Linked DNA regions of Lonchura striata. The protein of the gene in region 3 interacts with the protein of the main gene of each other region in a biochemical or structural test. Links are inferred from orthologs where the notes say so. Each region holds a gene or a part of one and is shown on either strand. Other genes may lie near its edges.

Region 1 (7,800 bases), on a different chromosome or scaffold from region 3:
AGCCACGGGGACAGCGAGGGTCAGCCCCACAGGGACAGTGAGGGTCAGGCACGGGGACACGGGGACAGCGAGGGTCAGCCCCACGGGGACATGGGGACAGCCCCACGGGGACAGCGAGGGTCAGCCACAGGGACAGCGAGGGTCAGGCACGGGGACACGGGGACAGCCCCACGGGGACATGGGGACAGCCCCATGGGGACAGCGAGGGTCAGCCACAGGGACAGCGAGGGTCAGCCCCACGGGGACACGGGGACAGTCCCACGGGGACACAGGGACAGCGATGGTCAGCCCCACGGGGACATGGGGACAGCCCCACGGGGACAGCGAGGGTCAGCCCCACGAGGACAGCGAGGGTCAGCCACGGGGACACAGGGACAGCCCCATGGGGACACGGGGACAGCCCCACGGGGACAGCGAGGGTCAGCCACAGGGACAGCGAGGGTCAGCCCCACGGGGACACGGGGACAGCCCCACGGGGACATGGGGACAGCCCCATGGGGACACAGGGACAGCCCCACGGGGACACGGCACCAGCTCCAGCCACCGCACCCCGAGCCTTGCCCGGCGGATCAGGCTCCTTTTTGAGCCAGAGATGGGGTAACCGAGAGGCACTTTACAAATTTTTATTCTATATTTACTCTCATGTGAAGGGTGAGGCAATACATATATAATTTAAATTTTATGTGTATTTTTATATACATATATTATATTCATATATAATGTATATATATATATATTCAATTGTTATAATTCACGCCATTACAATCAGAAGCCAACTATTTTTTAATTATAATGCATTATAAGCGTTTTTTTGGCCTATCAGCTTTTGCCACGCCACACTGTCAATGTTTCAAAGTTAATTATAATTACTCCTCATGGGTTTTACTGTAATGCAGCTTTCATAGTGCTACTTCTCTAAAGCATTTAATTTTATTTGTAAGGCCATCCTTTCAAACTTGTTTCTAGTTATATTTCTCTCTCAACAAAGCCTGTCCTGTGGTATTTTTACACCGGTATTTCTTATCTCGAGGTTTGCAAAGAGGTGCAAACCGCTCATTTACCCCACCTCGGAGTCACAAAAAACCCTAATCCAAAAAAAATTGCCCATCACTTCCTCCTGCAGCTCTGTTGTAAATGCAGGGGAACCCAATGGGAAGAAATGGCGATGTGTGACTCAATTCAGAAGGCTGAATGATTTCTTTATTATAACTATGCTAAAATACATTAATATACTCTATAAAAGGAGGATACTAAAACTACAAACTACTTTTTCTGACTCTAACACAACTCATGATCCTCTCTGAGAGTCCAGCCCCTGGTGGGTTGGATTGGCCACCAGCTCAAACAATCCTCACCAGAATCCAACCAAGCACTCACCCCAGGTAAAAAATTCTCTAAATACATTCCACATAGGAAAAACAAGGAGCAGAAATAGAAATCGTTTTCATTTCTCTCCGTGCACCTCTATGAAAAATCCTGAGGGGGAGAGAAACGTGCTTGCCACACAGCTCCACAACTTGAATCCCGTTTATTGTGGGACTGAGCCGTTTCCTCTGAAAATTCAACTTTAATCCCGTTTATTGCACAACTGAGCCGTTTCCTCTGAAAACCCAACTTCAATCCCGTTTATTGCACAACTGAGCCGTTTCCTCTGAAAATCCAACTTCAATCCCGTTTATTGCACAACTGAGCCGTTTCCTCTGAAAATTCAACTTCAATCCCGTTTATTGCACAACTGAACCGTTTCCTCTGAAAACCCAACTTCAATCCCGTTTATTGCGGGACTGAGCCGTTTCCTCTGAAAACCCAACTTCAATCCCGTTTATTGTGGGACTGAGCCGTTTCCTCTGAAAACCCAACTTCAATCCCGTTTATTGCAGGACTGAGCCGTTTCCTCTGAAAACCCAACTTTAATCCTGTTTATTGTGGGACTGAGCCGTTTCCTCTGAAAACCCAACTTCAATCCCGTTTATTGCACAACTGAGCCGTTTCCTCTGAAAACCCAACTTCAATCCCGTTTATTGCACAACTGAACCGTTTCCTCTGAAAACCCAACTTCAATCCCGTTTATTGCACAACTGAGCCGTTTCCTCTGAAAAACCAACTTCAATCCCGTTTATTGCACAACTGAACCGTTTCCTCTGAAAACCCAACTTGAATCCTGTTTATTGCACAACTGAACCGTTTCCTCTGAAAATCCAACTTCAATCCTGTTTATTGCAGGACTGAGCCGTTTCCTCTGAAAATCCAACTTTAATCCCGTTTATTGCGGGACTGAGCCATTTCCTCTGAAAAACCAACTTCAATCCCGTTTATTGCACGACTGAGCCGTTTCCTCTGAAAACCCAACTTCAATCCCGTTTATTCCAGAATTTAGCCGTTTCCTCTGAAAACCCAACTTGAATCCCGTTTATTCCAGAATTTAGCCGTTTCCTGCCGCTCCCCTTCGCCAGGCACCCCCAGCCCAGCTCGCTGGACCCTTTTTTTGTGCTTCCTCCCCCTCCGCGTGGCACCGGGAATGTCCCCACGCGGTGACACCACGCTCCAAACCCAGCTCCGGGAGGGGACAGAATCCCCATCTCCACCTGCTGCTCTCCCAAATGCGACGGAAAACCGGGATCGGGAGCGGTTGTGCTGCGTCCAGCACCACCCCCGAGGACACACGGACCAGCCAGGCCACCGGGACGTGTCCCCGACCCCGGGCAGGGCAACCCCGACCCAGCCGCCGCCTCCAGCGCTTTTCCCACGCCAGGACAGCTCTGGCCACCCCTTTTTAAGCCACAGGAAGCCTCCAGGGGGACGGGGGGACGCGGGGCTGGGTCGCCCACCCATCCCTCGCCATCCCTCGCCTCCTGGCAGAGCCGGTAGCCACGGGCCACCGGAGAGCCACTTACCAAGGTCCTGGGGGCGGCTGAGCAGCTCCGAGGCAGAGCCCGGAGGTTTGAGGTTGCCGTGGAGATGGTTTCCTCGGAAGGAAGGGACAGAGGGACCGGGAATGAGAAGTCAAAGCCCCGGGGAAGGAGCAGAGGCTGCTCCGGACCTGCCAACGGCGTTTTAACCCCCCGGCAACCGCCCCAACCGGCCCGAGCGGCGCCGGGCGCGCTCCTGCCCAGCCCCCGCGCCGCACCGCCGGCTGCTCCGCCGATTCAGGGGCGCTGCGAGCCCGACTTCCATCTGCCCGTCTCGTCCATCCCCTAATGAGCTCCGGGGAAGAGGCACACGCGAGGAAATGAAAGAAAAAGACAGTGAAGAAGAGCCCGGTGTGAGTCTGGCAGCAGCGAGGGGATCATTACATAATGGAGCTGTGGCTGCACGCTCGGAGAACACGAGCGAGCCCGGCGAGGGAAAGAGGCGTCGGGGATTAACTAATTAGAAACATTAATGGATTGGGAATGATCGGGAGCTTTTTAGGGGCTTAATGGCTCCGGTTCCCACGCTGGAGATGGGCACAGCCCCGTAATTAGAGCCCTGAGCCGGCAAATGGGCTCCCGTGAGTCAGGCTTTTCCCAGGAATGCCGGGATGAGTCAAGGTTTGCACCTTCACGGTGTCACACGGACGGGGAGGTTGAAAATTCGGGATCCCCAGCACCGGGCAAAGCTGGAGACCAGCAGAAAATGCCCAGAAATGTGCTCATGGAACGGTGAGAAAGGCAGGAGTTTCCCTGGAGAAACGGGGATGCGGCTGAAAGTTGAACGAGAGGCAGGCAGGGAGTTGGGCACTCGGGTGGAGATGTGGACGAGGAACTCCTGGCAAAACCTGGAATGGTTTGGGATGGAAGGGTCTGGAATTCCATCCAGAGTCACCCCTGCCAGGGCAGGGACACCTCCCGCTGGCCCAGGGGGCTCCAAACTCACCTTGGACATTTCTGGGGGTCCAGGGAGAGCCACAGCTCCTCTGGGAATTCCATCCCAGCCCCTCCTCACCAGGAATTCCTCCCCAGTATCCCACCCAAACCTCCCCTTTTCCCATTGGAAGCCATTCCCTGTGTCCTGTCCCTCCATCCCTCGTCCCCAGTCCCTTTCCCTGCTGAAACGCATCCCACATAAAGCAGACACAGAAATTTCTGAAATTTCAGGGAGCGTCACATCAGGGGTTTTAAAATTCCCACGCACACTTTCAGTGTGTTCCATCTGGGAAAAATCCAGGTTGGACATGGAGAAAGGTGCCTGAAAGTCCTTAAAAAAGGACTTTCCTTCCCAATATCCCACCCAAACCTCCCCTTTTCCCATTGGAAGTCATTCCCTGTGTCCTGTCCCTCCATCCCTTGTCCCCAGTCCCTCTCCCTGCTGAAACGCATCCCACACAAAGCAGACACAGAAATTTCAGGGAGCATCACATCAGGGGTTTTAAAATTTTCAAATTTTTTCCTCTCCAGACCCTTTGCAGTGTTTTGGTTTGTTTTGGGGGTTTTTTTGTGGTTTTTTTTTGGTTTTTTGGGGTTTTTTGTGACCCCTTTGCAGAGCTTCCCCAAACAACACCAAGAACCCAAAATGGGATTAATTCAGAGCAGGGATATTCTTTTTTCCCCCAAGCCCAAAGACAGAGAAAAGCCCTTTGGAGAGCCAAAATCAGCCCCTTCCATCTGGAAACCTCTCACAGATCATCCCAAAAGGGTTTGGCAATGGAAAAGGTGAAGGGGGATCTCCCAGGGATGCTCAGGAAGCAAAACTCATGGGAGCAACAATTTTACATTTTTAAAAATGTAAAATTTTACAAATTTTTCATCTTCCTGTGTAAGATGAGCCGTGACTTCCTCCCTAAAAAAAAAATAAAACAAAGAAAAAAAAAAATGTTTGGGTTTTTTTAAACAAAGATTTTATTTCCTCCACTCAGGAAACAGATTTTAAAGTGCAGCAGGAAACTTGTTCAGCTTTTACCAGGACAAAAAAAATCCATGGGAAAATGCTGCCAGGGCTGGACACCCTCTGCTGTGTGATGCTCCCGAGGGGGTGGGAAACCGCTGGAATATTTAATTTTTAAATTAAATATTAAACCCCTGTGGCTTCCAAACCCAGGCCAAGGTGACCCCAGAGCTGCTGCCTTTGCTGTCCCCGCCACATTCCTGGAAATCCGAGCCCAGGGATGAGCGATTTCCACCGGGATCCTCCTCTCCATCCTCCTGCCCGTGCCTGGAGCTCTCCGGGCTGGGGAGAAGCAGGAAAATCCCTGAGGCTGCACGCAGGAATTTCCCCTCTGGAGAAGGATCCTGCTGCTGGAAAAGGCAGCTTGGGTGACAAACGGAAAGGTAAATTTTAAGGGATTTCGAGATTTTAGAGGAGGTAAGATTTTAGTTAGAGATAAGCCTTACTAGAGTTAATTAAAATAAATGAGTAGGCCTTGATGAAGTTAAGAGTTAGGAGTTAACTAGTAACTGATTGCTCATCAGCACAATGATGAGTTAGCTGGGTTTGTAATGAAGAATATAAATTGATAAATAGCTTTTAGGAACATCAGACAATTGTGGCCTCCTCTGTTCTGAAACCAATTGAAGACAAGGAATGGGAGTTCTACCAAGAGTTCATTTGTCATATTTACATCGAAAAGGTAGAAAGGTCAGTATGAGGGAAAAACTTCATTGACTTCCTCATTTTGGGACCCGTCCCCATGGAAGGGACACCGACCCATTTCAAGGAACAAACCACGCAGGCTGAATAGATTTTGAAATTATTAGCATATGAAGCAGGGAATGGGATGTACCAAAATGATGAATTTGTATTTGTATTTTGGGTATTCAACACTTGGATGGATAAAAGGGCTCTGTAATCACCTGGAAGCTGTGGTGTGGATTTGGGATCCCACACACAATAAACACACACTTTGTAACTTTAAACTGTCAGAGAGTTTTTGTCTGTCACAGTTGGATATTGGTATTAGATCAATATCCAGATTTTTTAAATAAATCACTTTCTAACTCTAAACTGTTAGCGAGTTTTTGTCTGTCACAGCTGGATATTGGTATTAGATCAATATCCATATTTTTTTAATAAATCAAAACCAGCTCCCAGGGAGGGGAAATGATGCCTCAGGTTTGAGCTTTTCTATTTCTCACGTTCTGAGCTGCTTTGGTGCGTGGGTCTGGGCTTCACCCCGGGGGATGCTGAGCTCTGCACAGAGCAGGGAGACAAAACAACTCCTGCTCCAGCTGGGACCGAGGACAATCAGGACAAGTTTAAACAAGGTGGGCTGAAGAGACAAAACAAGGAGGATGGGAATTCACCAGCTAAAGCTGGAATTGGACAATTAACTCCAGCGTGCTGATGGACCAGAACTTCAGAAAAGTGACAGACCCCATGACCTGCCTTCCATTTTGGACCATTTAGACCAAAACTTAATAAAAGTGACAGACCCCATGACCTGCCTTCCATTTTGGGACCATTTGGACCAAAACTGAATAAAAGTGACAGACCCCATGACCTGTCTTCCACTTTGGGACCATTTGGACCAAAACTTCATAAAAGTGACAGACCCCATGACCTGTCTTCCACTTTGGGACCATTTGGACCAAAACTGAATAAAAGTGACAAACCCCATGACCTGTCTTCCATTTTGGGACCATTTAGACCAAAACTGAATAAAAGTGACAGACCCCATGACCTGCCTTCCATTTTGGGACCATTTGGACCAAAACTTAATAAAAGTGACAGACTCCATGACCTGTCTTCCATTTTGGGACCATTTGGACCAAAACTTAATAAAAGTGACAGACCCCGTGACCGGTTGTGCATTTTGGGACCGTTTTGGTCGATTTGGGTGCAGCCCTGGCTGGGCTCTTGTGCTGCCCATGGTGGATGCCTCGAGATAATTTTAATAAATCCCTGCTTTATTATTTTTTTATTCTGTAGCTCTTCCAGCTCTGTTCTAGCTCAGCCTTCCCGGGTTCCTGTCCCGGGCTGTTCCCAGGTTCCCAGTCCTGACTCAGGACTGCAGGAATCTCGTTTTTCCAGCCTGGAAGCCTCTGGCACCATCCTCACATGAGGCTCAGAGCCGAGGGAAGTGCAGGAATTGCCCCCTCATTCCAGCGTGGGATGAGAAACAAAAAAAGATGCTTCCCTGCTGTGAAAAACGCCAATCGCTTGGTTTTTAAAATTTTAAAAGTTTAATAATAATAATAAAATTGTTATAAAAATAATAATACAATTAGAGTAATAAAGTTTAGAGTGAGGACAATTACAAGACAATAAAAAGCAAAGAATTACGGATGTCTGGATGCTCTTGGACACTAAGTCACAAAAATCATGACTTGTGAACAAAGGAATAACCTTAAACCAATACACTTGTTGCATATTCATACATCCTTCATGGTTATGCAGATATTTTATTTAAAACAAGAAACTCTGTCTGTTGTATGTCAACTGTTTCCTTTAATCTCCTGGCAGCTTTGAGTCTGAGCAAGGCCTTGTGAAAAACAATAATCGCTTGGTTTTTAAAATTTTAAAAGTTTAATAATAATAAAATGGTTATAAAAATAATAATACAATTAGAGTAATAAAGTTTAGAGTGAGGACAATTACAAGACAATAAAAAGCAAAGAATTACGGATGTCCGGATGCTCTCAGACACCAAGTCACAAAAATCATGATTTGTGAACAAAGGAATAACCTTAAACCAATACACTTGTTGCATATTCATACATCCTTCATGGTTATGCATACATTTTATTTAAAACAAGAAACTCTGTCTGTTGTATGTCAACTGTTTCCTTTAATCCTCATGGCAGCTTCGAGTCTGAGCAAGGCCTGAAAAAATTATTTTTTTCTGATAAGAAGCCATAAGTTCCTCTCCTTTGGAAGATTTAGGTG
Region 2 (7,060 bases), on a different chromosome or scaffold from region 3:
TCCCGCACAGGCTGCGCTCCCAGTGGGATCAGTTTTAATTCTAGGGGAGCTGGGAGGGCAGAGCTCCCTCCTTGGATATCTTAGCGGCGGAACCAGTGGGAATTTCCCCTCCTGGTGCTTCCAGGGGTGCCTGTGGAGCTGCTGCCCCATCCCAAAGCAGCTCCTGTGGGGTGACAGATCCCAGCACGGCAGGGCTGAGGCACCGGGGGCTGCCCGAGTGACGGGGCAGCGGCAGAGCCGCGTGTCCGAGCGTCCGAGTGTCCGAGCGTCCGGCGGGGCTCACCAGGGACACGTCGTCCAGGATGAGCCCGAAGGTGGCCGCGCGCTCCGTCAGGTCCTCGCTGACCTGCCTGGACACCAGCTCCCGCTGCGTGATCAGCTCGCCCGCGTCGAAGCGCGCCTGGGGGCACGGAGGGACGGAGGGAATGGGATGGAAACCGCTGGGAATGGGATGGGCACCCCCGGGAATGGGATGGGAACCCCTGGGAATAGGATGGGCACCCCCAGGAACAAGATGGAAACCACTGGGAATGGGATGGAAACCGCTGGGAACGGGATGGGCACCCCTGGGAATGGGATGGGCACTCCTGGGAATGGGATGGGCACCTCCGGGAATGGGATGGGCACCCCCGGGAATGGGATGGAAACCGCTGGGAATGGGATGGGCACCCCCGGGAATGGGATGGGAACCCCTGGGAATAGGATGGAAACTGCTGGGAATGGGATGGGCACCCCCGGGAATGGGATGGGAACCCCCGGGAATGGGATGGAAACCGCTGGGAATGGGATGGGCACCCCCGGGAATGGGATGGGCACTCCTGGGAATGGGATGGGCACCCCCGGGAATGGGATGAAACCAGAGGGAAATTACTGGGAATGGGATGGAACAGAGGAAACAGGAGGGAAAAGGAGGGAATGGGATGGAAACTGCTGGGAACATGAGGGAAACTGCTAGGAATGGGATGGAATGGGATGGAAACTGCTGGGCACAGGAGGGAAACTGCTGGGAATGGGATGGAATGGGACGGACACTGCTGGGAACAGGATGGAATGGGAGGCACCAGGAGAGAGCACGCTGCCAGGAGCGCCGGGGCAGCGCGGGCGCTCACCACCACGGACTTGAGGATCTCGGTGGTGATGGAGGGCAGCACGCGCTCGTCGTAGTCCTCGCCGATGCTGGTGAAGATGCGCGGCAGCTGCGCCGTGACGGGCCGGAACAGGATGCGCAGGGTGATGTTGACGTTCTGCAGGTCTGCGGAGCGGCAGCGGCGCCTCGGGAGCGGGGCCGGGCTCCCCCGGCGCCCCCGGCCCCGCTCCGGCAGCAGCACGAGCTGCCGAGGATCCCCGATCCCCCCCGGCCTGCCCGGCGCTGCTGCGGGGAGAATTCCAGCCCCGCCACCTCACCTGGGCCAGGTGAGCTCCAGGGACCCCTCCCAAACCCCAGGTGAGCTCCAGGGATCCCTCCCAAACCCCAGGTGAGCTCCAGGGATCCCTCCCAAACCCCACCAGTGTCACTTGGGCCAGGTGAGCTCCAGGGACCCCTCCCAACCCCAGTGAGCTCCAGGGACCCCTCCCAAACCCCAGGTGAGCTCCAGGGACCCCTCCCAAACCCCACCAGTGTCACCTGGGCCAAGTGAGCTCCAGGGACCCCTCCCAAACCCCAGGTGAACTCCAGGGATCCCTCCCAAACCCCACCAGTGTCACCTGGGCCAGGTGAGCTCCAGGGACCCCTCCCAACCAATAGATTTAGTCCTCACAAACAGTGTATTTTAAATAAATCAGAGTTTCACTCTCACAGCCTTCTGATCTAGTCAGAGTCTCTTCATTCCCGTCCTGCTTCAACAACAACACCCCTGGACACCCCTGGGTGCCCCTGGACACCTCTGGGTGCCCCTGGATGCCCCTGGAGACCTCTGGACACCCCTGTGTGCCCCTGGGAGCTCCGGGGTGCATCTGGACACCCCTGGGTGCCCCTGTGTGGCCCTGGACACCCCTGGGCACCCCAGGGCGCCTGCACCCACCTTTGCTGCCGGTGATGACGGGGACGTTGCGGGGCCGCGAGCGGCAGTCGAAGATGATGGGTTTCTGCACCCAGGGGATGAGGAAGTGCGTGCCCTCGCCCACCACGGCGTCCTGCACGCCGCGGAAGCGGTCGAAGATCACGGCCCTGTGCCCCGCGTCCACTGCGGGGGGAGAGAGCGCGCAATTAGCGGCACGGCGGGAAATTAACGGCGGAGTTAATCAACCCAGGCCGGAGGAGCTGCGGGCGGAGCTGTGGGGCCCCCGGGGCAGCTCCGAGGCTTTGGGAGGAAGGAGCTCCCGCGGCACTGCATGGACTCGGTGTGGATTTATCGGGTGATAAAGCACGGGGAAAACAGGATTGGGGCAGAAACACAGACCCGGGGCACTCACCGAGTCCCACTCACCGAGTCCCACTCACTGAGTCCATCCCACTCACCCAGCCCCACTCACCGTTGTAAAGCGCCGAGTTCACGACTCCCCCCGCCACGGCCAAGCCCAGCCCGAGCTTCCCGATGCTCTCGAACACCTTGGCAGCCATCTCACCGCTCCAGAGCCCGCCTGCGACGCCCCGCAGCGCTCAGCCCTGCCCGGGGGTCTCCCCAGCCCCAAGAGTCCCCCCCCAGCCCCAGGGGTCTCCTCGGCCCTGTGAGTCTCCCCAGCCCCGGGGGTCCCCCCCATTCCCGGGTCTCTCCCCATCCCGGGGGTCCCCCCATCCCTGGGGGTCTCCCTCCCATCTCCCTCCCCGGGTTCGGTCCCGCCGCCCCCGGGGCCCCCCGCACCCCCCAGGCCTCCCCCTGCCCGCTCCCTCCTAGGCCGCTCGCCCGCAGCAGGGGCCCGCCAGGGGGCAAGGCCTGGCTGTGTGCCCGGTTCCCGATTCCCGGTTCCCGGTCCCGGACCCACCGCCGCCCCCCGCCCGCCGCTCCCGCCGCGCCGCTGACCTCCACATGAATCCGCCGCCGCCCCCCTGCCCAGCGCGCCTGCGCGCCGCGCCAAGACGCGCCCTCCTCATTGGCCCGCGCCCCCCGGGGCTCTCTGGGATATGTAGTTCTCTCTGCCGCGCCCGCTGCCGCCCGGCCTATCGGCTCCGCTGTGCCCCGCTGGCTGAGCAAGGCCGCGCGCTATTGGCCGGAGCGGCGCGCTGCCTCTTGGGAGGTGTAGTCCTGGCGGGGGAAGGCGCTTGGGGGGCTCGTGGGGACCGGCGGGGGACACGGGCGGGGACAGCGCTGCCCGCCCCGGAACGCCAGAGCAGCTGGGCAGGGACCCCCGAGGTCACCCGGGCAGGGCCACCTGCCCAGGCAGGGTCCCCGCGGGGTCGGAATGTCCCCCGGCCCTTCCTGGTCACCGGTCCCGGCCACCCTCGGGGCCAGCTCCGCCTCCTGCCGAGGGGGACTTGGGGTTCACTTCTGGCCATCTGAGATATTTCCATCCGTTGGTGGGATCCCATTTCCAAAATGAGAGATTTCCATGCATATCTGAGATATTTCCAGGCATTGGTGGGATCCCTTTCCCAAAATGAAAGATTTCCACGGATATCTGAGATATTTCCCAAAATGAGAGATTTCCACGGATATCTGAGATATTTCCAGGCATTGGTGGGATCCCTTTCCCAAAATGAGAGATTTCCACAGATATCTGAGATATTTCCATGTGTTGGTGGGAATCTCTCCAGTCGCAGATTTCCGTGGATATTTGCGATATTCCCGTGGATATTTGACATATTTCCATGGATATCTGAGGTGTTTTCATGCAGTGACGGGATCCCCTCTGCAGTGACAGATTTCTATGGATATTTCACATATTTCCACAGAAATGTGGGATATTCCTGCTCTCAGCCTTCCCTCCTCCGGTCTACCCTTCCCTCTCTCCGCTCGCCCGAGGTTTTCCAGACCCCAAATCATTCCCGTGGCCTCCCTCGGGCCCTTCCCAGCAGCTCCTGGAGCCGCGGACCCCGGGATTCGCTGTCCCCCCTTGTCCCGGGGCCGTTCCCGCTCCGGTCCCCTCCTGTCCCGGGGCCGCTAGAGGGAAGCAGCGCTCTCCCTTTGGCTCCGGGAATCCCGAAAAACGGGGAAAAAAGAGGGAAAAAAGAGGAAAAAATCCCCACGCCGCCCCCGCGCCCGCGGCGGGTTCCGCTGCCAGGTGACCCCGCTGGATCCAGCGGGGAAATCCCATTAAATCTGGGATTTACGGCTCGGGATTTGCAGCGTCCTCGTTCCTGCCGGGGTCGTGTTGCTCATTCCCGTTTCTATTCCCATTCCCATTCCTTTTCCTACTCCTGTTCCCATTCCCATTCCCGTTCCCATTCCCATGCGGGATGAGCTCTCCCCATTCCCACATTTCCATTCCCATTCCCGTTGCCGTTCCCGTTCCCATTCCCATTCCCGTTCCCACATTCCCATTCCCATTTCCCCATTCCCATTCCCACATTCCCATTCCCATTTCTCATTCCCACATTCCCATTCCCACATTCCCATTCCCACATTCCCGTTCCCAAGTGGGATGAGCTCTCCCCATTCCCGTTCCCAGCTGCGAGGGGCTGGAGATTCCCAGGAAGGGCCAGGGGGACATAGAGGCCCCCAAAATTGAGCTGAGAGTGCGTTCTTGGGGTTGCACCCCAAAATTGGGCTGGGATTGCTTTTTTAGGGGCTGGCTGTGGGATTGCACCTTCAAAACAGCTCCGGAACCACATTTTTGGGTGGTGGCACAGAACCGCACCCCAGAACTGAGCCATAACCCCAATTTTGGGTGGTGGCAGCAGAACCGAACCCCAGAACTCAGCCAGAACCCCATTTTTGGGTGGTGGCAGCAGAACCGAACCCCAAAACAGCTCCAGAACCCCTTTTTTGGGTGGTGGCACAGAACCGCACCCCAAAACAGCTCCAGAACCCCATTTTTGGGTGGTGGCACAGAACCGCACCCCAAAACAGCTTCAGAACCCCGTTTTTGGGTGGTGGCACAGAACCGCACCCCAAAACAGCTCCAGAACCCCATTTTTGGGGGGTGGCACAGAACCGCACCCCAAAACAGCTCCAGAACCCCGTTTTTGGGTGGTGGCACAGAACCGCACCCCAAACCAGCTCCAGAACCCCGTTTTTGGGGGGTGGCAGCAGAACCGCACCCCCAAACCAGCTCCAGAACCCCGTTTTTGGGTGGTGGCACAGAACCGCACCCCAAAACAGCTCCAGAACCCCGTTTTTGGGGGGTGGCACAGAACCGCGGCCCAGAGCCGCGCGGGGCCCCTCCCGGCCCTTCCCGGGCCGCTCCGGTTTTGGGGATTTCCGTCGGGCCAAGAAGGGCTCATTGTCCCCCGGGCTGGGAACAAAGCGCCTCCTCTTCGCCTCCGCCGCTCCCAAATCCCCGCGGCACGAACGCGCCGGGGCGGCCCCGGGGCCGGGGGGACCCGCGGGGACTCCGGGCCGCGGCCACGCCCGGGGGGGGCGGCGGGATTTGGGGTTTTTCCACCCCAAATCCGGTGTGGGGCTGGCGCTGATCCCACTCCCACCCAGCCCGTCCTTAGGGGGGGTCCCGGCTCTTCCCGGGGGTCCCAGCCCAGCCCAGCCCAGGGGTCTCAGCCGTTCCTGGGGGTCCCAAACCTTCCCCGGGGTCCCAGCCCAGCCTTTCCCGGGGGTCTCAGCCCTTCCCGGGGGTCTCAGGGGTCTCAGCTATTCCTGGGGGTCCCAAACCTTCCCCGGGGTCCCAGCCCAGCCTTTCCCGGGGGTCTCAGCCCTTCCTGGGGGTCCCAACCCAGCCCAGCCCAGCCCGGGGGGTCCCAGCCCAGCATTTCCAGGGGGTCCCAGCTTTTCCCGGGGGTCTCAGCCCTTCCTGGGGGTCCCAGGGGTCTCAGCCTTTCCTGGGGGTCCCAGCCCAGCCCTTCCCGGGGGTCTCAGCCCAGCCTTTCCCGGGGGTCCCAGCCCAGCCCGGGGGGTCCCAGCCCAGCCCCGCGCCCGGCACAAACCCGAATTAAGCTCAATAAGCGTTGAAATTCAATTAGTGAAACTGCATTAAAGCCCTGCGAGGACACGGCTCGGGGTGGAAACGGCCTTAATGTGATTTCGGCCGCGTTCCCTGCCGCGATTTGCAAGTCAGAGAAATCGAATTACGGCTGTTTGCATTCTGAGCTCTGGCCCCGCAGTGCAGCTTAATTAATCTGCTTTAAAAGCCAGCCTGCCTTCCGCTCAGCCAGCCCCGGGCGAGCCAAAAATCCCCCCGGGCGGGCACCGGGACCCCGGGCGGGCACCGGGACCCCGGGCGGGCACCGGGACCCCGGGCGGGCACCGGGACCCCCGGGCGGGCCAGGTTTGGGGTGGGTGGGAGGATCGCGGAGGTTTTGGGGAGCAGCGGGACCGTCCCCGGTGCCAGCGGGGATAACCCGGGTGCAGCCCCGAGCGGAGCCCCCCGTGCCGGGCTGGGCGGTGCCCGCAGCGCCGCGGGGGCAGCGGGACCGGCCCGTTCTGCCCGCCCGGGGCTGCCCGGTTCTCCACGGTGCTACCGGCCCTTAACGGTGCTTCCATTCCTGCCCTCCCGGGGACAAATCCTGCCTTCCTCGGGACAAATCCTGTCCTCCCGGGATAAATCCTGCCCTCCTCGGGATAAATCCTGCCCCCTCCAAGACAAATCCTGTCCTCCCAGGACAAATCCTGCCCTCCCCGGGACAAATCCTGCCCTCCTCGGGATAAATCCTGCCCTCCCCGGGACAAATCCTGCCCTCCCCGGGTAAATCCTGCCTGCTCCAAGACAAACCCTTCTCTCCCCGGGTAAACCCAGCCCTGTGCCGGACAAAGGCGCCTCAGTGCGGCCGCCCCAGCTGCCGGTGGGGCCGGAGCCGCTTCCGCCGCCGGGGGGGCTCGGAGGGCCCCGGTGCCGCCGGTGCCGGCCGGGCTGAGCATCCCGATCCCGGTGCGGCCGTTTCCAGGGATACCGCCCGGGGGTCAGCCGGAGGTCTGGGATGTTCCAGCCCTGCCCTAGCGCCCTTAATTGCTCATTTATTCCCTGCAATTAGTCCCAGGTGCTCGTCCGCGGCCGGGTGACCCCGGCGGGTCCC
Region 3 (7,985 bases):
ATACATATTTGACACATGAGTCAAGGCCTCAAGAAGAATTAATTTTCTAAAGGTTCTTGGAAGTCAGCAACTGAAGACAGAAAAAGGAACCATGTTCATACCTCAACTGAAGGAGAGAAAGAATTGAGGCACCAAATATTCCTGTTTATGCAGCAGGCTGCTCAGTGCCCATGTACCTGAGGCTGAATTAGCCCCAGTACGTGAGGGGCTTACCCTCTAAAATGAGAACCACAGTTAAGATATCCTTTTCTATAAATTTTAAAAAATAATTATAATTATATATATATAATTATATAATGATTGATATATATTTATCCTTATATATAAATATATATAGTTATACTTATAGCAGAGGTGCTTTAGGGATGAGACCATATAAATCTGTGGTGAAACTGCTTTAGTCTTGCTGTTTGTAGAGCAATGGGTTTTAGGGATTTTTTTTCCCCTTGAAATCTGCTCTGACATTCAGAACACAGTAAGCTCAGTCTCCTTGTTCTTTAAAAAAGCCATGGAATACTTGACAAACTGTGCCAAAGAGGAAGCACAAAGTCATTAAAACACTGGGAAATATCCACAACGTGCTGGTCCTTGGCTATTTCACTCTGGAATGAATGGGCACGGGTGGGGAATCACCTCTGATCCACCTCTCTCAGCTCACTTGGATTTCCCCAGGTTGCCAGGAATGAGTGGAGCTGCTCAAGTGCAATCTCTCGTCTCTGATTTTGCTGAGGAATAATAACAATGCAGTGATATAACTGCAGGAAGCTGTCCAAAATCATAAAATACCTCACTTTCCCCCCCACCTCATATCTGTGTCATTCCCTTTCCATTTGTTGTTCACAGCCTGAATTCCTCAGATAACTTCGCTGCAGACTTGAGCTTTACTGCAGATATGGAAAACTGCCTGGAAGTTCTGCTCCTTGGTTGTTCTGGCTGTTTTCCAGCCTCAGCAATATTCAAGATGCAACACATCCAACTTTCACCAGCAATCATTCTATAAAATACAGCCAAAAATAAAAGATCCCATACAAAATTAGCTGCTACCTTAATTAATGACTACAGGAAGAAGTAAAATGAGCCTGGCCCAGGTCTTTGGAGGGCTAATTCTAATTCTGCTGGAGAGTGAGGTGAGCCTAAAATACACCAGTGCAGGGCTAATCTTGAGGTCAGTAGGCATTGCAGATTTTCAGGGAATAGTGGGGTTTTCCAATCCAAAACCAGAGGATGTTGGTAGCTCTGACTGCACCCTGGGCACACACTGAAGCTCTTCCCAGCACCTGCTGCTAGAAAATGAATGTGGGGACACCTGAGCTGTATCAGGCAACTCTTTTAACAAAAACTAAGCTGATTTCTGGGAAACTGAGCTTGGACCAGGAGGAGAAGTCCTGAATAAGGAGTGGAGCTGCACGAGGCACACAGGAACAGGTTTGGAGCTGCCTGAGGACGTGACACACATCACACACTGCACACCCAGTGATGGGATAACCCTGCCCAAGGGATGCACAGGGGGATCTGGGGTGCCTGTGCAGGGCCAGGGGTTGGGCTGGATCATCTGTGGGTCCCTCCTGGCTCAGATATTCCATGATCCCATTAAAAACCCCTGTGCTGCTCCAAACACCCAAACAAAGTTGGCAGGAGTCACCTCCAGCTCCCTTCAGAAGGAGCTGCTGTTCTTAAGGGGAAGAACCAAAGCAAATCTCCAAAATGCACACCAGGGCAAGGTGCTGGCCCCACTGCTCAGCCCTGCAGGGGCCTCTGCAGCAGTGCAGGCTTTGCAGCAGTGCAGGTTTTGCAGCAGTGCAGGCTTTGCAGCAGTGCAGGCTTTGCAGCCCCTGAGCAGCACAGCCAGGCTGAGCTCTCCCTGTGGAGCAGCAGAACCAGATGGTCTTAGAGGTCTTCTCCATTCTGTGCTCCTGTTCATCCTGATCTAGCTCATTCTGTGCTCCTGTGATTCCCAGCACTCCCAAAACCCTGGAGAGAGGCAGGATTAAACTGTGGCACACTTGGAAAACCCAGGCCTTTGCACACATTAATCTCAGCCATCGTTTGGAAACTTCTGACCCACATGCAAGGAGCTCCAGGGGCAGATGGAGCCCTGCACTGCATGGATATAATCCATTGTTATGCAAACACACAGCTGCTTTTTAACCTCACTTTCACACTCCTGGTGGGTTTAGTTTCACAGCACCCAAAAAGGAGGCAGAGATAAAGCCTCCTGCAAAGAGGCTTCGATTAAATCTGGAAAGGGTTTTTGCAGACGGGTCAAAGGCAAGCAGTCTGCCGACCTGAAATGGAGCTGTGCTGCTCCAGGAAAGGGCAGGCACACTTCAAAATACAACTTTGTACCTGGTAAACATTAATCTCTGTATCTATTTAATATTTAAATAGAAAATGACAGTTTCAAAGATTATTAGATTATGATCTGTGCTCAGAAATTGTGGAAATTTCCACCAAAACCTTCATACAAAATTCATAAACCTCCCCTTAGAAATAGCACTGGGGCTTTTCCATCTGATTGCAGACTAATTAATTTAGCCTTTGGAAGCAGGTTTGGTAAGTATTTAATCCCGACCCTTTGGCCTGGATTCACAGATCCACTGTTAACCTCCCAGACAAGTAAAGGTGCTGCAAAAGCTGTGAAAACCCCGTTCCCCCCTTCGGCCCACTCAGGACTCACCAGAGCCGTGTTCCCACACCCAGCACCATCCGAGGGTTTGGATCCAGGGCAATCCCAAGGCTGGGACTTCTGGGAGCTCTCAGGGCCAGCAGGGACACCAGGGATGGTTCTGCTTCCCAAAAGGCTCCAAAGCCTCCTTTGTGTGAGCACAAATACCTGGAGCCAGGGGCTGAGCCCCGCAGGGTCACACGGGTGACAGGGCTAAAAACAGGCAAACCCAGAGGCTTAATTTAAAGTGCCCCAAAATGTTGGTGCTGTCCCCCCAGGGCTGCTCCTGCGCCTCTCCAGCTTTTCCTACAGCTTTCCTGGAATTTTAACATCCCTCTCTCTTCGGGGTTTGTGCTTTGGATTCTTTTATTTTTAGCTGCAGTGGTCTGCAGAGCCCGCCTGACGCCAGCAAATGTAACTGGAGCCGGGTCCCTGCGAGCCAGGAATTGCAGCCACCATCAGCACAGAGCTGGCACTGGGCAGAACCTGGGAGCCCCACTCCTGAATTTGTCCCCTGCCTTGGGAAAGCAGCGGGGGGACTGCATCAGACGGGTTAGGGGCGAGCAAATAGACATCAAAGATGCAAGGAGGTCTGTCCCACAGCAGATCCGTGTTAAATGGCTTCAGTGTGAGCAGGAGTTTACAGGAAAAGCCAAGCTTTCCCCTGCACTAACCCTGGCACGGGGCAGGCGTGCACAGAGCAGGCTAGGCTGCCTTTGGAAAGGGCTGCTGGCAGAGTGGGTAAATCAGAAGAGGCCACTGCTGACAGCCACCTCCCTCCCAGGGCACACATCCCAGGCCACGGTGGCTCCTTTTACACACACAAAACTGCAGCCCCAGGTCTGCTCCTGATCAATAAGGACCACATCTCCTACCCAGCTGCCAGGTTTTTACCTTTCCTCTCCATGCTGCACAACTGGAATAAATCTGGCTGAATCACCTTACCTGAACTCACCTCTTAGCTCTCTGTTCTGGTCCTGTAGCAGAGAAGCAAGTGAAGGGTTGCCAACTTACCTGATGGAGAAATTGTTCATCCTGACTATTCCAGGATCTGTAACCACAGCAACGTGTCTACAACAAAGTGTGATTGCTCCAAGGAAGGAAAATAGGAGTGTGGGGAGGCTTTCAGCCCCAGAGGTGAGAGGAGGAGCCAGCAGCAGAGCTGGGCTGCAGCAGAGGGCTCAGCCTGCCCATCCGGGGAGTGATGCTCCAAAAGCTGGGAATGCTCCCTCCTGCCCTCTGCAGCACTGTGCTGTGTGTCCTGGCAGGGCTCAGGCTTTGTTGGCAGGAAAGAGGAGAAATCAAGGCAAACAGAGAGCACTGCGCTTGCCATGGAGCAGGGAGAGCACGGAGCTCACATGGGGAGGCAGGAATGCTGGGCTGCCAGGATGGATTTCCTGGAGATCCAGAGTGTGTATGACACTGACAGCACCTGAAAATCACTTTTTTACAAGGCAGCTTCTCTGTCCTTTCACAAGGAACAAATGCAGAGCAAAACAAGTTGAAGACAGAGATGTCACCAGAGCAACTGTGACCCGTCAGTTTTCTCCACCCCATGAAGTTGATAAATACACCTTTTATTCCTGGCATATTTAAAGCTGGTTTGGGCAAATTAAGTAACCTGAGCATGTTTCCTTGGCAAAGATGGCATTATTTCACATTTGCTCACCTAGCTGGGAGCAGCCCTGCCAGCTGTCCCTGGTGCCACCTCACAGAGGGGCAGGAGGTGCTCTGCCTGCACTGCCCTGCTGGGGCACACACTGGGAAGGGACCAGCAAAACACACCTCAGGCACCCTCCAGTGTCCTCATCCTCTCGCTTTTCAGATGCTCTTCAGATCACATCTCCTCCTGGTTCTCCTGGTCCTTCTCATTCCTGATGAACCCTTCATTTTCTTTATCCAAGTCAGCAGCCTCCTAAAAGGAACCACAAGAAAAGAGACATTATTTACCCTCAGTGCTGCACAGCAGAGTCCAGGAGCTGCTGTTCCCCCTGTGATGCTGCAGTGTCTCATCACATCAAGCACAGCTGAAGTGGAAAACTTGCTCGTCTTTCATGTTGATGCAAATTTTCCATAGAATTGTTCTTCTCATACAGATTTTTCCTGAAGTGACCCCAAGCCTCACTTTCTCTTCCTGCTGCTGGCTGGCAGCCTGAGACACCTCCTTGAAAGTGCTTCAGATTCAGGCTCAATGATGAGCCAAAAATTGACAATTTGCCCATGCCCCACTGCCTTGGTCTATATTTTTTTTTAAGGGGTAGAAGAGTAATTGTGATTTGTTAAGGGGATTTCTGATCTGCTCTTTAATTTTTCTGGTTTCTGACATTCTGGGTGCACAGACTCTGCCAGGGACTGTGAGCTGACCCAGCAGCTGGCAGAGAGCTCTGGAATGCTACAACTGCCTCAGAAATCTCTCAGCTTGGTCCACAGGGCTCGAAGGAGGGGGTCAAGGCAGAAAATCCAGTGATTGCTGAGACTGGGCTGGTCCCTGGGCAAGTGGGAGCAGCTCTGGACTCTCCAGCACCAGGGAGGTGAGCACAACCCTGCCCAGCTTGGCCCGGGCACTGCCAGGGTTCCAGGGGCAGCCACAGCTCTGGGCACCTGTGCCAGGGCTGTCCACCCTCACAGCCAAGAGTTTTTTTCCTAATATCCAGTCTTAACCTGCTCCCTTTCCATCTGAAGCCATTCTCCTAGTCCTGTCCCTGCTGGCCCTGGTAAATAATCCTGCCCTGGGACACTACAGTGTCCCACAGTTTGGGACACCCAAAGCTTCTCCTGCCCAGGCTGAGCAGCCCCAGGCCCTGCAGGCTCTCCTCAAGCACAGCTGCTCCAGCCCTCTGATCAGCCTGGTGGCCTCCTCTGGACTGGCCCCAAAGCAGATCTGAGCAGCAGAACAGAAAATATGGGACACCACACTGCCCTGCTTGGGAAGAAAATCCCATCAGAGTATTCCATGAGTAATTCCATGTATGGTCACAATACAATCCCTCTAAAGCTGAGACCTAAAGCATGGTGAGGGTGGGATTTATAATAACCTATTTAATAATTTTTATGAATTTCCTTGCTAAAAGTGATGCTAAGTGTGCTCTGTGTTTGCAGAGAGCTCTCTCTGCATGTGCAGGGCAGTGCTTTGGGGTGAAGGATGGTGCAGAAGTGTTTGTGCTGGGCAGGGGAAGCAGGCAGATGCTCCAGGATGGGCACAGGGCAGCCTGGGGCAGTGGTGGAGCTGGTGCTGGAGCACAGAGTTGCCACTTCTGTCAAGCTTCACTCAGTCACTTTTTGCCTTTCTCTCAGCAAGAAGCACAGATGAGGGAGTCCCTGAGTGCAGGACACACAAGAAGACTTAAGCTCTGTGGGAATCCAGAGCTTCCTTCTGGCTGCCCTGGCAGGTCTGGGACCCCGGCAGGGGTCAGGAACCCCCTGGACAGAGCCCCCAGAGACACTGGCTGTGATTTCTGTCCATGGAAAAGAGTTTTCAGTCTTACAGAATGAATTACCAGCTCTGAGGGTTTGATATCAGTAATAATTAAGTGTGGCATGGGTGCAAAAGTAAAATTTTAGGATTCTAGATGAGGGGTCCAAAGGGGACAAGATGGAGGAAATTGGGTGTGCCTTGTCCTTTTTCTCCTTCTTCATGCCCTCCATGTCTCACTGTGGTGTTGGCATTTTTCTGTTGGTTCAGGCTGGGGACACACTGTCCAACGTAGGTGACAGATATTGGCACGTTATTGTAAATGCAGCCCAGGGAGTTTCTGGTATTTAATGTTTGTCACATCCCACTGAGGGCAGAGCCCCACACGCTGCCCTGCAGGACAGAGCTGGGCAGGGCAGCAGAACATGTGAGAGATCAACAGAATAAACAACCTGGAAACCAGCACAGACCAATTATGGCTTCTGCTTTGGCAGGGGGCTGACAGACAGAGACTTTCTACAATCTTGGGATCATCAATATCAGATTCCGACAAAGCTCCTGCCCTGTAAATATTTGTACAGCAGACAGTGAGCCCTGTGCATCAGGGGAAACAGAAATTCTGCTCTGTTCTCCAGAGCAAGGGCAATTTATTCAAACCCTAATCTGTGTAGCTGCCACCAAAACCCAGCTTATTTACAACCAATCTCTAGAAAGAAATTGTTTCCTACCTGCCCTGGCATGTCCTTGCAGGCACCTTGCTCCTTGCTCTGTTGATTTATTATTTCTTCTTTTGGAAATGGTAAAAAAACATTAATCTGGGAATCTGTACTGGGCAGAAGGCAGGGTTGAAGCCCAATTATACTGAGATCGTTGTGGAAGGCATGGATAATTCAAGTTCAAACCCAAAGGTTTTTATTCAGTGCTGTAACTTCAGAGAGAGCAATTTTAGCTATGTTTTTAGCAGGAATTAGCGTATCCACACAGTCTGATCTGCAGTACCTGCATTTGGGGTCTCTCAAGGAAGAAGTGGACTCTCACCTTTAATTTAAGTTACTTTATGGAAGGTCTTGTCTCTTTTGTTGAGTAGAGAGTGTGCCAGGATAAGCAGAGCTAAACCATTTTACATTAATTCCTTCAACAGGAGGAATCTGTGATCTCCTCTCTCTTGTTCCACTGGGAGAGGAAAATTGCTCCTCTCTCAAATGCTGGCCAGATGCAGCTCTCGGAGCTGCTTTGCTCAATCCATGTTTTCACTGACACTTTTCACATGCAGCTCCAGCCCTCAGCTGACAATGTCCCTGTCACTTGTGCCATCAGCCAAAATGCTCCAATAGCTACTTTCTTTAGTGTTTCCTTAAATAGGGCAAGAAGTGCACCCCTCATTTCTTATGTATCAGGGTCTGGACATTTCCATAAACTGAACATTCATTAATAATATGCACTTTGTACTAGCTTTGACCTATTCTTTTTGTGTGTGTGCAGGAAAATTACCTGAATTAGTTCACTGATGAAAAAGAATTCTTCATACAAAGAATATTTTCAAGGAGCTCAGGTTCCTATTAATATCACTCTGTTACTGACTTGGACGTGCTTCTTGAGTGTTGTTCCAGTGTTTTTACCTGGCTTCTTTCTGGTTTGGGGTCTGATTTCTGGTTGTTTGTACCGCTCAGAGGGAGGCCAGTGCTTTTAGAAATGCAGGTACCCACCTGGATGCCTGCAGCAAACCAGAATGCTGCCTGCAGTTAAGGATGTCACTGTTAAAATAAGCAAATAAATTCATTTTAGATTACTTATTACAGCGCTTAAAGAAGTATTTTTTTTTTATCAGAATCAAAGCAGGCCACCCTACCTGGTCTCTTTTTACATCTCTTATTTTCTGGTCAACTTAACAGCAAACCCTCTTGATTA

Evidence for each region.
Region 1: the proteins of RAF1 (region 3) and PEBP4 form a complex in vitro, tested with the Homo sapiens proteins (2 studies listed by BioGRID). The link is inferred for Lonchura striata from reciprocal best matches to the Homo sapiens genes RAF1 and PEBP4.
Region 2: the proteins of RAF1 (region 3) and PHB1 form a complex in vitro, tested with the Homo sapiens proteins (2 studies listed by BioGRID). The link is inferred for Lonchura striata from reciprocal best matches to the Homo sapiens genes RAF1 and PHB1.

The regions. Positions count from the first base shown.
Region 1 is NC_134634.1:3,265,664-3,273,463, reverse strand, and holds the start of PEBP4 (phosphatidylethanolamine-binding protein 4), read right to left. Parts: upstream 3,001-7,800; 5' UTR 2,895-3,000; intron 1-2,894. UniProt on the Homo sapiens protein: Promotes AKT phosphorylation, suggesting a possible role in the PI3K-AKT signaling pathway.
Region 2 is NC_134627.1:7,928,060-7,935,119, reverse strand, and holds the start of PHB1 (prohibitin 1), read right to left. Parts: upstream 3,001-7,060; 5' UTR 2,961-3,000; intron 2,581-2,960; 5' UTR 2,561-2,580; coding exon 2,473-2,560; intron 2,184-2,472; coding exon 2,022-2,183; intron 1,253-2,021; coding exon 1,110-1,252; intron 401-1,109; coding exon 284-400; intron 1-283.
Region 3 is NC_134614.1:4,706,436-4,714,420, reverse strand, and holds the start of RAF1 (RAF proto-oncogene serine/threonine-protein kinase), read right to left. Parts: upstream 3,002-7,985; 5' UTR 2,678-3,001; intron 1-2,677. UniProt on the Homo sapiens protein: Serine/threonine-protein kinase that acts as a regulatory link between the membrane-associated Ras GTPases and the MAPK/ERK cascade, and this critical regulatory link functions as a switch determining cell fate decisions including proliferation, differentiation, apoptosis, survival and oncogenic transformation.